Linked DNA regions of Drosophila melanogaster. The gene in region 1 interacts genetically with each later gene. Each region holds a gene or a part of one and is shown on either strand. Other genes may lie near its edges.

Region 1 (4,945 bases):
ATTGATTTTTGAGAGGTTTGCTTTGTTAGCAATATGCTTTTTCGAGCGTTTAAATCAAGTACATGGACATCGAAATGATTGGCTTAAATAAATTAATGTGCTATTGCAGCTAATTTCACTTCAAAAGTTGAGCTAAGTTTTAACAATTGAATTTTCTTACTCTTGGCCTTAATTTATACCGAGACTTTTTCTGCCTGAATGCCTACAACTTTTTTTTTTGGGTAATTGTCGTAAAACGAAATGACATTCTTGTTTTGCATTTTATCATTTTTACGATTTGTTTGGGTACCATGCGTTGAGAGTCCTTCCGAAAATTGAGCAATTCAAATTACTAGATTATGGAACATAGTTCGTTAGACAAATGAGCAAATAAAACTGGAAGTGGAGCACCTTGAGGAGCTTTTAATCCGATTGCACGGATTGCGTCAGAAACATGTTCTTTGGGTTGCTGGCTCATTTATCTCATAATAACTTTACCCTTTTGCACGATTGCCATGGCACTGTGTAAATAAAGATATTTCAATGTGAATGCTTTTAATTAGACATAAGCTATAGTGCATTCGATTTGATATCTGCATTTAAAGTGAATTGAAATTAATCTTTCATTCGTTAAGCTTTAAGCCAAAATGCATTTCGTTCAAGATAATAGCCATATGATTCACATCAAGCTGCACAAATTTATTTCCTCATATCCTTTTTCACATACATACATACATATTTGTATGTGTAACTTCATTAGGAAGCACTGATTCACACACAAAAGCATTGTGCATTAGGCGAGACTTTCAATTTCATTGTGTCCATGACAAGGCCACATGTTCACACACAAATCCTGGCTCTTTCCTCTTTAAACTTCCTGCTCCGTGGCTGATTTAAACCTAAGCCAGGACAAATTGTATCTGGCAGATAAATAATTTGTCGTGATGCATGTACTCGGAATCCGAGGCGACAAAAGGGCATAAATCAAACATGTTTCGCCCATATTCCATAGATGTGGCATGGCAAATCAATACGCAAATTGGCATAAAAAATATAGCTGTGCGAATTTCTCGATATTGATACTCGTAAAACAAGATAAAAGCCTCGAACGAGGAAGCAAAACATTCAGGACCAAAGGCCCAGAAATATATATTTATACCCATACTTCCATGGATCCATCGATGGATGTGCGAAAATTGTTTTGCGCTCAAGACAAAGTTTGCGCCGTACTCGTATTTATTTTTTTATGGTCAGCCGTTTGTTGTTTTTTGCGCCCCGTTTTTTGTTTCTTGTTGCCTTATTTTTATCGTATTATACAACAAATTACTTTCAAATACTTTTGAGTATAAAATTTATGGCCATTTTGCAGTTTGGAATTTGATTTTGGTTTTTGCTTCAAGCGAAGGAACCCTTTAAGGATACGAAAGTATATATAGAAATTTACAGCAGCTCAAGTTTTAAAAGAACTTTAAGTAGTTTCACAAATTATGCGTATAATAATTGCTAAGATTTTGAACATTCTTGATTCAGAAATTATTTAGGTTTGCGAATGATGGAATTTTGAAAGGACATCACTCTAAGGACTCACCCAAACTCAAGTAGAATATCACGGCGGCCAGCAGAAGGACGACGGTCATCAGACAGAAGCCTACGGCGATGCTCCTGCCGTAGACCATGGCGATTTATCGGTTTGCTCCTGTTTTGCACGCTCGCTTATCTAATTACTTGGCCACCATGGCTGCACTGGCTCCTTGACCGAGTTCATCATTAGGAGCACTCAATTCCCACTCCGGCCACGCCCCCACAAACAACAGCAATAAGAAGAACAACAGCAGCAGGAGCTGATGCGGTGCTGACTCATTGAGTTTTTATATTATTATTTCTTATACCGCTCCGTCTTCTTGTTTTATTTTTGCGTTAATTTCTTGTCACTTCATTTGGCTAATGTTCACAGCTCGCGGAGAAGAGTTTTAAGTGCCAGGATTACACAGCTGATGAAGCGGAAGGAGGATTGGGAGCTGGAGCGGGAGTTCAAAATTAATATTTCGGATGGCAAGTGCTTTCCACTTGGTGGGGTTTCGATTTCAGCGCTGGATAAAATTGATTTGGTGTCCATAAAAAATATATGCATAAAGCGCCATTTTGACAGACGTCGGGCTTAAGTTTCACAGACGGCTTAAAGTTATTGGGGATATAAATTTATTAAAAGTATTATTTCACGCGTCTGAAAGCTGCTATAATAACTAAAATTTGTGATGCAAGAAAAAACCAAGATATAAGTTAAAAGGAAGTCATAAAGATTGGCTATACTTGTTCGCCCCGCTGAGTCTAGCAAATCGAAATGAATAATTTTAGTTGGCTCCAGTCGGAATGGTTCTATTTTTAAGCAGCCACTTGGTTCCCCAATTTATGCAAGACATTAAGCCAAACTCAAGGTTATAGGTTTGCCAAATGTACTACGAAATGGAAGTGCAATATGTGACCGGCATTAGAGGGTCCTTTTCCGAAGCATTTCTTGTCCGGCTGATTAAATTTAGCTTAATTGAGTCGGCGGCAAGGGGGGGGGGGGGTTACATCGCCCAGCGGGGGGGCTCAAGGTCAGCCGGAGACAAATCATAATTTCCGCAAAAGGTCACATTGTCTCGGCGATGCATGATCCCCAAAACAGAGAAACTGGGACTCTCATTATCGCAATCATCGCAATTGAACATCATTTGGTGTGGAAGAGGGCCATAAAAACGGAGCGCTCCTTCGTCCTTTTTGCTGGCGGGCCACTTTAACGCTCTCCCTCGACCACTTTGTCGATTGTGTCAATGCGATAGGATGCCCCCAAAAACGGACCATTCAAATGTATGCTCCTTTGCCTCTTTATTTCCTACGGGCCACTTTCACTGACCCGTTCACTGGGCGACACTTTTTGAAAATTGAAAGTAGCGCGCGCTTCGCCAGGAAGTCTGAGTCGCGAGCGAAGGATATCGACAAGGACAAAAGGACCAAACGCGTTCGAGCACAGCGGCCAACTGAAGCTGGTGGCAGCATGTGTTGCTGATTTTGTTTTTCCCTCCGCACAAGAAAAGCGGCCGAGCAGCTAGCTTCGTGTGGCACAGGACTTCGGGCTGACCGTTGATTTCATTTGCGGAAAATTCGTGGTGTTTCAAAAGACCAAAACCAAATGTAAATACAGACAGTTCGTTTCGAGAAAATCATAAAAATGTATTTATTAGCTAATTAGATGTAATGCAATTACAATTTGTTCTAAATCGTTTTTAGTTTAAATGTAATAGTAATATATAATATTCGATAAATTGCATTTCCGTTGGTGTTTTGTAGTTCACTATCATCATCAGTTTGTGTAAATATTAAATATTGCTAATTAAAAACATAATACATCAAAGCGACTTGTGGGTTGTCTTTTAATTGTACGCTAGCAATTATGTATGTACTAATGCTTGATACCTTTGCAATTGTTAATGCTTCGGTCTTTTGTTTCGATATCCGGTGGCTAAGGCTAAGCACTTTAAAAGTTAAACTTTTCAACAAAGCATTGCTAATTTGTTTTTTTAAAGCTGCGCTAATTGCTAAGTACAATAAGTTTTGTGTAATTCGAATTGTGAATTCTACAATGAATAATTCTGTAGGAGACAAATCACTAAGGGCACTACTTATTCGTTAGAAAGGCGTTTTTAAATTACGATACTCTCGAATTATTGCAACAATTAAAATTCATTGTCAAGTTAACAACTAATGGCGAATTGTAGAGATTGGAAAGGGTTTTTGTTAACACGTAGACTAGCAGCAAAAATTAACCAAAAGTATAGCACACAAAATTAAGATTAGGGCATGTGAATATGGGACTCATTAACTACTATTAAATACAAAGTACAGTGCGGAATGTAGAGTAATAAAACGATTGTGATTTCAAATTTGTAACATATATCATTGCATTGAGAGATCCATAGAGTGTGATTGGAATGTAAACATACTAAAACAACAATCAAGCACGTTAATTATTGTAAATATTTTTAGAATATTGTTTAAAATTGTGATATTCATAAGGAATCCATTTCGTTTCAACTCCATTATGCATTCAAGATATGTTGATCAATTTGTTCCCAAAAACATTATTTTGTTGGAGGAGAAATACGTTTAGAAAAATAGTTCTGGGTATGTGTGACTTAAACCCACACACCATGAGGATTTTTACTGGTTGGAACCGCCGTTTCAAGTTGCCTGGGCGAACCGATGATCCGCCGGCTGCTGCCCTGCTTGTTGGGTCCTTCCAATAGATGCTTGATCTCCTCCGTGGTGGTCACAGTCAGGCTCTGCAAATTCACCTCCTTCATCTCGTTGACCAGCTGCTCCACCTGCCGCTTCTTGTCCGCGATGGCATGCTCGATCATGAGTAGTTCCTTCTTTAAACTATCTGCAGTTTTGTTTGAAGTGTCAGTGTTGTGCAGAGCCTGGTCGATTTCACTCTGAATGCGCTCCATTTCCATCAAGAAGTCTCGCTCCACAGTTTGCCTGAAACAACCAAGAAGTGTGAAAAACTTAAAACAAAGCAAGTAAATTGCTATGCACTCACCTATTGGTCTGCTGTTGATGTTGCTGCTCCAGCTCAATGTCATCCATCAGCAAGCGCATTTTGTTCTTGCATTGTAGCAGCTCTGTTTCGCAATTGGCCAGCTTGGATCGCAGTAGAGCTATTTCTGATTTCAAAGTCTTCTCTTGCTGCTTGACCAATTCGTTTTCCTCTTCCACATACTGCAGAGTCTGGAGCTGTTCGCTTCCTTGCCGAAAGATTTGATCCGCCTTGGAAATCTCACGCGAAATAGCATCCAACTCGTGGGCGTGGTCGCGTTCTTTGCTCTCCAAATAAACTATTTCCGTATCGAACTAAGCAGATAAAACAAAAATAAAATAATAACATTCCAAATCAATTTAGAAACTTGAATATTTGTACCTTTTG
Region 2 (4,737 bases), on another chromosome or scaffold:
CCAGATACTTCAGCGATCAGGCTGTACAGCTTCTAATGCAGATGACCCGCACATTCGTAGAGGAGAACGTGGATTACATTGATCGCTCGCTGAATACGTTCGTATCAACTGAAGCGGTCCTCTATCGCATTCTAATGCATTGCGTTAAAACCTTTGATGACTTCGGCGAAGATTTCCTTCAGAGACAACGTGAGGATATTTTGATGGTGGTATCCAAGTACTTTCGATCACTGGAGCCAGTTGGCGAACAAAACTGCCGCAAGTACAAATGCAACGTTTGCAAAGGCGCCTACTATATTAGTTCCATATAAGCTGATTCCATGGTTCGAGCTGTCGGTTTATTAAGTGATTTAGTGATTAATAGATTGTGATACAACAAAGATTTGTTAGCCATCGTGACTCATTTGTACTAGGATTGTAATAATCTTTTAAGCCTTTATATGCGTCTTCTAAACCTAATATGCTGTTAAATTCTCTGAATGTTTGTTTAGTTTTAACTGTCCACCAATTTTTATAAAAAACACTTTAATTCCGATCAGTTGCCGTATTCGATTGTTTATTCAAAATCGATCTAAGTGTATAAATACTGTAAATGGATCTGTGTCCCTGGGAGTGGGCACAAATAAGGTACTCTATAAGAGTGAGCGCGACTTGTAGAATGTACATGAATAGCCTAACTATAACTATGGACGGATTCAGAAGATTCTGACCAGATGGCACCGACTTGGAGCGTGGGGCATGGAGCATGACACTGGAGCTCTCTTAGCAGAAGAACTCCTCCTCGCACTGGTTTAGACAGCAGTAGGGAATGTTGTTGTAGGACCTGCTCGAGTGATCCCTCTTGAAGCGATGCTTCTTTTCGTGGTGCGGCTTGATGGGCTTGTAGCGCGGAAAGATGTCCAGTTCGCTGAGGCGATTGAAGTGCTCCCGGGTCACCTTCAGGTAGCCACCCATTGGATAGCTGCTTCGGCTGATGTAGTGATGCTTGTTGTGCGTTTTGCCGGCTGAAAAGGGGGAAAACGTTGCCAGTGAGCAAATTGATCTTGAACCTGCGCCTTGAAGTCGGTTAACTTTTGCATCGGAACTGCTTTATGCAAATGCCGTATTAATTGCAATCTACACACTTAAAAAAAAACGTGTTTTCGATATGCAGTTCCGAATGCAATTGTCGGGTTGACTGACACTCTGACCTTATTAGCTCGCTAATCCAATATTTTAATCTTTTCCTTATCGATGTTCAGTGGATATTGTTTAATTGAGATTTTAAAACGTAAGTATTATAGTTGGAAACAAAATTTAAAAATGGTAAAGTCATAACGAAGCATTATAATAATTTGATCTTTAAATTTATCCGAAATATTTTTAAACATTTTTTTTCCTAGTGCCACACTATGCTCTAAAATCTAAGATCTAGATCTAGATACTTACATCCAAGTCGATTCAGATGGTGGTGCGCGAACTCGATGGACCTTCTGTCGCGGCGGGCACCCTCGTCCGCCTGAAAGAGGTGCTCGCACGCCTCCATCGCGAACTTCTTCATCCGCTCCAGGGAGCAGAAGCTGCCCGACGAGCTGCCCATCAGGCAACAGACTCCGATGACCAGCAGCATCCAGCGGCACATATGCAACTGCAATGGAGGAGCGGGCGAAACAACAAGTGAGTATGAGTATATTCCAAATTAAACACCCAACCGGCCTCCGGCTCCTAATTATAAATCGCTGACGTTCAGAATTTATCGCATAAGTGTTACAACGATCCTCTAACCGGCTGCACTCTGCCCTGCTTTGGCATTTCAATGTGAATCTGGATCGCCGCTCTGGACACATCTGGATTAACCACTTCGGATGACGACAGCCGGGTGTCGGGATGCCGGGATGTCTGGATGACGTCGCCGACTCCCACGCACCGGAGTATGCCGCCCATTAACTGGGTCAATATCGCATCAAGATCGAAACATAAACTGGAGCGCATTTGCAAGTCGACGCGGCCAAATGGTGAATTTTAATTGCCGCTTTTAATGACCGAAACTTCCCCGACATTACGGCGATCTGGAGCTGAAGTGGAAATTATGTAATGCGCCCCGCAGGTAGGCATTTCCGCATTTTGCATTTCGCATTTCGTATATCGCACCTTGCGGTGACACTCCAGTCTGTTTAGCACTCCAGTCCGCCATATGAATCCGATTCGGAATCGATGCGGGCATTATGCTCTTGCCCGCGGAGAACAAAAGCGCATTTGTTTATATTGGATATTGATATTTTTAGCTGACAGCCTGTTAATTGCACACACCCACTTTTTTTGTGGCGCGAAGCTAATTTAAGTAATTAAAGTGGAGTGTTCTTAGAAGACAGTTATTTGTTTGGAAAATTTCTGGACTCAATTTGGAAAAGTCCACCTTGTACTGGAAATGTTTAAGTTCAGTACAATGATTTCAAGGAATGCATAATTTGGTGTATGAAATCATTCTGAGAACTGAATGTTTGATGTTTAATGCTTTGGTGCTGAGCAACTAACCAACTATAATGCTAAAGAGCTACACGAATTAGTTATGCTAGTGTAATAGTTAAAAAACAAAAATAAGAGTTTAACTTCAACTCGAACTCACCTTTGAACTCATTTTAGTGGCGTTCTAGGATCACAATTCTCAATAGATCAATAGATCAGTAGGCACGTCGATCACCTTTCTGGCTGCAACACTACGTATACGTGTTTTCTTTTGGCGGGCAAACTTGCTGCAGAGCTAACTTGCTGAATGGTTAACCCGTCCGTCCGATCGACGTTACCTGATAATCACGAGCGGCGAGCGCACAATGAGCTTTCGTTGCCGACGTAGCCAAGCTTTTATACGCGCCTCAAAAATCGAGGATCGGCGCTTCGGATCGGCTCAGTTTGCCGCTCAGACAGCCGCTCTTCACTTTTCAATGGGAATGGGCGATGGGGGTGAGAGAGAGAGAGAGAGAGAGAGCAGATTTCGGGATTTGTAATTCTTCGGTTTCGGTTTCGGGTATGGAGTATGGGGTATGGGTTATGGGGTTCGGTCTCGGCTTTTTGGGGATCGGGATCCGCTCGCAGGAGTTTTGCGTAAGCGGCAGGGCGCGCCGAGCATTCAGAAATATACATTTTTTTTTATCAATGGGCCTCGGAACGGACGTCAGACCAGAAGAGTTGGCATTTATAGTTTCATGGCGCCGCCGTTTCGATCTTAAACGAATTTCAACATAAATGGACTCGGCGGACTCACTGAGTCACAGTCACATGCTGCTGGACTTGCTGCTGCTCTTGATAAAGCCGAGGCGAATACTGTTAGCTGGAACAGTCTAAAAACACTCTTATCAGCGCACCTTGGCAATGTAATAAGGTAGTAATAGCTACTGGTGATTTGACGGCCGATGGTGGCAGTGAAAGTGAAAACTTGGACCTTGTTGCCGGGGCTTTTCCAACCAGGGCAACGCACTTCTTGATAGCCGTGCATGCTTCTCTAATATGATTGCTTATTTATGTGGATCCATAAACAAGTTGAACAGACCCATAAAACCATTCAAATATTGTGTGTAGAATTTGAAGAACTGTAAAATTGAAATTGTTGACTGGCGTTTCCCATTGAAAGTCGAGAAAAACAACAGTGATTAGCTTTAATGCGGTAATCATTTGTTAAATCATACTTTGTACCAGACTCACTCATCATTTAGCATGCTAAAAAATGATCCAAATGCCTTTACCATCTTTTTCAGTGGCAAAGTACTACTGTTTACTATAAGTAAAGAGTCTAGAATGACAGGTTCGTTGAGCAATGGAAAGCTAAGACATTTGAAAGCTTAAGAAATTTTTGCATTGAATAATATTCCAATGGACCTCATGGTGTTTTATTCAACCTGAAATTAAATGATAACATAACATTCTTAAAAAACTGGTTGCAGAAACCAATAAACAGTAAAGTTTAATGTTCATATAGGGGGCATTTCGTTCAAAGTCTAAAAAAATGAATTCATTAAAAAAAAAAAATTGTATTATGTTGTGAATAAAAAATGGAAGGCCAGCGAAATTGTTGTTAAACATTCAGATTTATATAGAAATAATATATAAAGTTACCGCACATTTGCTGATGTACTATGTATTGTATTTCCAAAGGTTTCTATCTCTACGATTGCTGCTTTTCGTATGATAGCAGGGTTCTGTGAAAAAGCGAAAGTGTAGAACTTTCACTGTCGTTTCTGTTCGGCTCTGCCTCTGTCTCTTTCGGTATCGGGCTCGCCCTCTCTTTCGCTCACCCTGTTGCAGCATCATTTGGGGTGGAGCACTTAACGGTTGTTCTGGATCGGGCGTCATCATCGTGCGTTCTTATTTTATCAGATCGTTTGTGTTACGTTCTTTTTCGGATATTTTTAGCCGCTCTCTCGGTCAATGCACACTTTCGGCCGACTTTTTATGGGTTCAGATTGTTACGTTTCTGATTCCGATTCCGATTCGGTTCGGATTTGGTTTCGGTTTCGTTTCCACATTCGTTTTGGTTATGCTGTTTTCTTTTTTTTTGCCACTTGCTTTTCGCTTTCGTTGCATTCCCGCATGCGGAAATGTTAGCCGGCCCTCGTGGCGTATGCGCAATGCTGCTGCGCAGTTGCATTTTCTCCCGCATTTCGCACGTATCCTTCGGAATGTGCATTCTCGCGCTCGTCGATCCGATCGGCAACGCATAACGGTAACGGGCACGTTCTGGGAACACCGACTTGGGTTCGGAAT
Region 3 (3,346 bases), on another chromosome or scaffold:
GTAAGCCACGCCCAACTGTCCCGGATTTATATATGTTGTATGTGTGTGTTGACGCGAACCCGGAAAGAAAAGACTCATGAAAAAATAACTATAGAGTCGAATGGTTCTGCTGTGCGACTAGGACGGCAGTGTGAAAGAAAGAGAACGAGCACGCCCGGCCGAGGAAAGTAGAGTAGTTCCTTCAACAATAGACCTAGACATCAGAGCTGTGGAGAGGTGGTCGCTATAGACGATGACGCAGAACATCCCCCAAAGTGATGGCTATTCTCTATCACAGTGGAAACACTTGAGACGCACGTCGTAAGATTCGGCTGTTTGCCTGTGTGTGGGTACGGTATTACGGTACTACGGCTTTGTGGGTGGAGTTTGAATGGAACTTAAAACTCATCGCGGTTCTTTGGGTGGGGTAAAAGATTTTAGAATTATGCAGGTGGAGTTTCAAGAGCTAATTTTCTATTACATATATATATGAAATTTATTTAAACATCATAACGAAATTAAGAACAAAACAATAGTATGTTTATGGGTAATCCGACTTAGATACGATGAAAAATGATGAAATATGTATTTACGTCATTAAAGAGAAAGTTTCAGTTGAGATTTAAAATGTAAACGACCTATATATAATAATGCAGAATATATATTATTAAAGATAATTTCAATAAGCTTCCTATATGTTGGAAGAATACATTGTTCGGATATCATATCCATCAGGAAGGCAATTAATAATACTTTAAGCCGCAGGGAAATTTTCGTGTATGATTTCCAACGAAAACATTCATATCGTATCATATCATATCCGTCTGGTTCCGCTCTAATGAAAATGAATAAAATTGCACACGAAATATAATGGGACGAGCCCATTGTTGTCAATATACTGTATATGGCCTTTAATTTATGACATTGTCATAATTCTTAGTCGGAAGCTTCGGATGATTGTGTAAACACTTGTAGAGCGCGAGATACTGATAAAGAGGGATCTATCTAGATATGGCAGGTGGGCTGGTCCATGGAAAAGAGAGAAAATAATTCAAGAAATGGAACGGAACTCTTCCTTGCCCACTTGCCCATATTTCAAGTGAATCCGCCTCCCACTTGTTATAATACCCTTACAAGAAGCTATTCTGCTTAATTATGTAAATAGTTTGTACTTTAAATGTTGTACTATTAATAGCATCAATGTGTCCAACCTAAAAAATATTGGTTTTATTTTTCCATCATTTTTAGTTGGAATTTTCTTATTAATTACAATTCAAGAATTTAATCATATTATAGAAAATATACTGGCGGTAATAGCTAAAAGGACTTTTTGCTGATTGACATAGATGAAAATAAATATTTTTAATATTTAAGAAATGAAATTCGAAGGATTAATATGAAACCGGCTAGATGGTTGTACTTGGCTGTTATCAGGTATCCGGCTTAGTTTAGTTGCTAATCACTAATGGGTAGCTAGTGTAAATAATGTTAATCTTAGAGGGTATTCCAAACTTTAGTCGTGAAGCAACTCTTGTATGTCTTTCTCTGTCGAACTCCTTGATGAGAAACGATTGTCATGCCCCGACGATTTAATACAATTAATATGCTAACTGTACTTCTCGCCGCACACAGTTACAACAAAGGCGCTGCCACCAACCTGGCAACAACAACACAACCTCATACAAAAACACGCTTGGCAACAGGCGCAAGGTGGCCCCGCCCCCGCTCACGATGAAAAGTAGTACTTTTTTGGGAGCTGCGAATGAGACGATGTCAACAGAAATACCAAAACAAAAAAACCCCAGCCAGAGAGCCGAAGAGCGAAGAAGGCCAAAATGAGCAGCCACCACCAGAAAAACAGAGAACAAGGCGGCGTGAGAGAACCAGGTATAAATAGCCTCGGAGCACTACTCAATATATTCAGTTGAAAAGCAACCATCGCAGCGAACGCATCTCGAAAAAATCATTGAATAAGAGAGACACCAGAACAAAGTGAACGAACTCGAAAATACGAAAGAAAAGTGTGTGCGCCAGCAACAAAGAACTAACTCGATAAATATTCATTGTGCAGAAGAGAAAGTTATTGAGTCACTACCAGTTGTGTAATTCCGAACGAGAAGAAAGATAAACCAACAATGGCAGTGGCATTCTACATACCCGATCAGGCGACTCTGTTGCGGGAGGCGGAGCAGAAGGAGCAGCAGATCCTTCGCTTGCGGGAGTCACAGTGGAGATTCCTGGCCACCGTCGTCCTGGAAACCCTGCGCCAGTACACTTCATGTCATCCGAAGACCGGAAGAAAGTCCGGCAAATATCGCAAGCCATCGCAATGAGGATTCGAGTAACTAACAAATACGGGGAAAACCAATAGTCCAGTCCAAAATCCAGAGTACAAAGGAAATAAGCATGAGCCAACCCAAAACCCAAACACAGTCACCACTCATCAGCCGACGGCACTCGATTTCTACTGCAGTCAAGGACACAGAGCCACAACACCCACCCAATTTTAGTTTACTCATCAAAGCGATTGTGATAATGGTTTTGTTTCTACAAAAAAGCGGAGGAAAAATTTGAAAAAATAACGTTTTTATAAAGTCCCCAATTTTTTACAAAAATGTTTCAATGATATAAATCAACTTTTTTAGAAATAATTTACTCTTAAAGCCTATTTAAATGAATTACTACTGTAATAGTTTGTAAGTTCTTTTGTAAGACGAGTTTTTCTAAGTTTTTTTTAAGAAGAAACCCCAGAAAAAAACGAAGATGAGTCGAAGTTGGCTAAAAATTGCATCAATTTTTTGTCAAACAAAAAGTCAATAAAACAAAAACAAAAACTAAAAAAATTGTTGGTTTTTCATTTACTTAAATATTTTCAGATTACCATTTATAAGATTTAGATACAAAAAGCGAAGAAAGCCTAAGATGATGTCTCGAAAAACTGAGTTTGGAACAAGCACATTTTTTATTTCATTTCGCCGACGGTAAAAGGAACTTTCTAGAAGGCTGTTTAATAATCAGTGAAATTATCGGTGGTTGTGAAAATTATTTTACATGTGTTTGGTTAGGAAACGTTAAAGATTTTTTTTTGTTTTGAAAAAGTTTTTCATTTGATTTCCGGCGTTCGGTGACAGAGTCCGCTTTGAAATATATCTTAATAAAATATTAAGATTGATATTGCCGGAAATAATAATAATAATAATAATTATAATAATAATAATAATTTAGTTATAATAATATTAATGCAAGCTAATTTCTTGAATTATTGTAGAACGAATATAATTATAAATCGGTATTACATATAATAGAATCTTAACCACATTATTTTTAGTTTTGATATAAACTATTTGTTGTAGAAAGTTAAACCACG

Evidence for each region. Genes that interact genetically often act in the same process or in processes that back each other up.
Region 2: of Lgr3 (region 1) and Ilp8, changing one suppresses a phenotype caused by changing the other (phenotypic suppression), as found in Drosophila melanogaster (4 studies listed by BioGRID).
Region 3: of Lgr3 (region 1) and rpr, changing one suppresses a phenotype caused by changing the other (phenotypic suppression), as found in Drosophila melanogaster (one study listed by BioGRID).

What each region holds. Positions count from the first base shown.
Region 1 is NT_033777.3:25,663,865-25,668,809, reverse strand, and holds the start of Lgr3 (Leucine-rich repeat-containing G protein-coupled receptor 3), read right to left. Parts: upstream 3,002-4,945; 5' UTR 2,821-3,001; intron 1,998-2,820; 5' UTR 1,656-1,997; coding exon 1,568-1,655; intron 1-1,567. Other genes in the region: RASSF8 (Ras association domain family member 8), read right to left, coding at 4,155-4,500, 4,562-4,872, 4,940-4,945.
Region 2 is NT_037436.4:17,029,281-17,034,017, forward strand, and holds Ilp8 (Insulin-like peptide 8), read right to left. Parts: upstream 2,801-4,737; 5' UTR 2,618-2,800; coding exon 2,606-2,617; intron 1,628-2,605; coding exon 1,429-1,627; intron 1,005-1,428; coding exon 763-1,004; 3' UTR 532-762; downstream 1-531. Other genes in the region: CG7730 (uncharacterized protein), read left to right, coding at 1-311.
Region 3 is NT_037436.4:18,397,004-18,400,349, reverse strand, and holds rpr (reaper), read left to right. Parts: upstream 1-1,914; 5' UTR 1,915-2,114; coding exon 2,115-2,312; 3' UTR 2,313-2,815; downstream 2,816-3,346. UniProt on the Drosophila melanogaster protein: Activator of apoptosis, as well as grim and hid, that acts on the effector Dredd.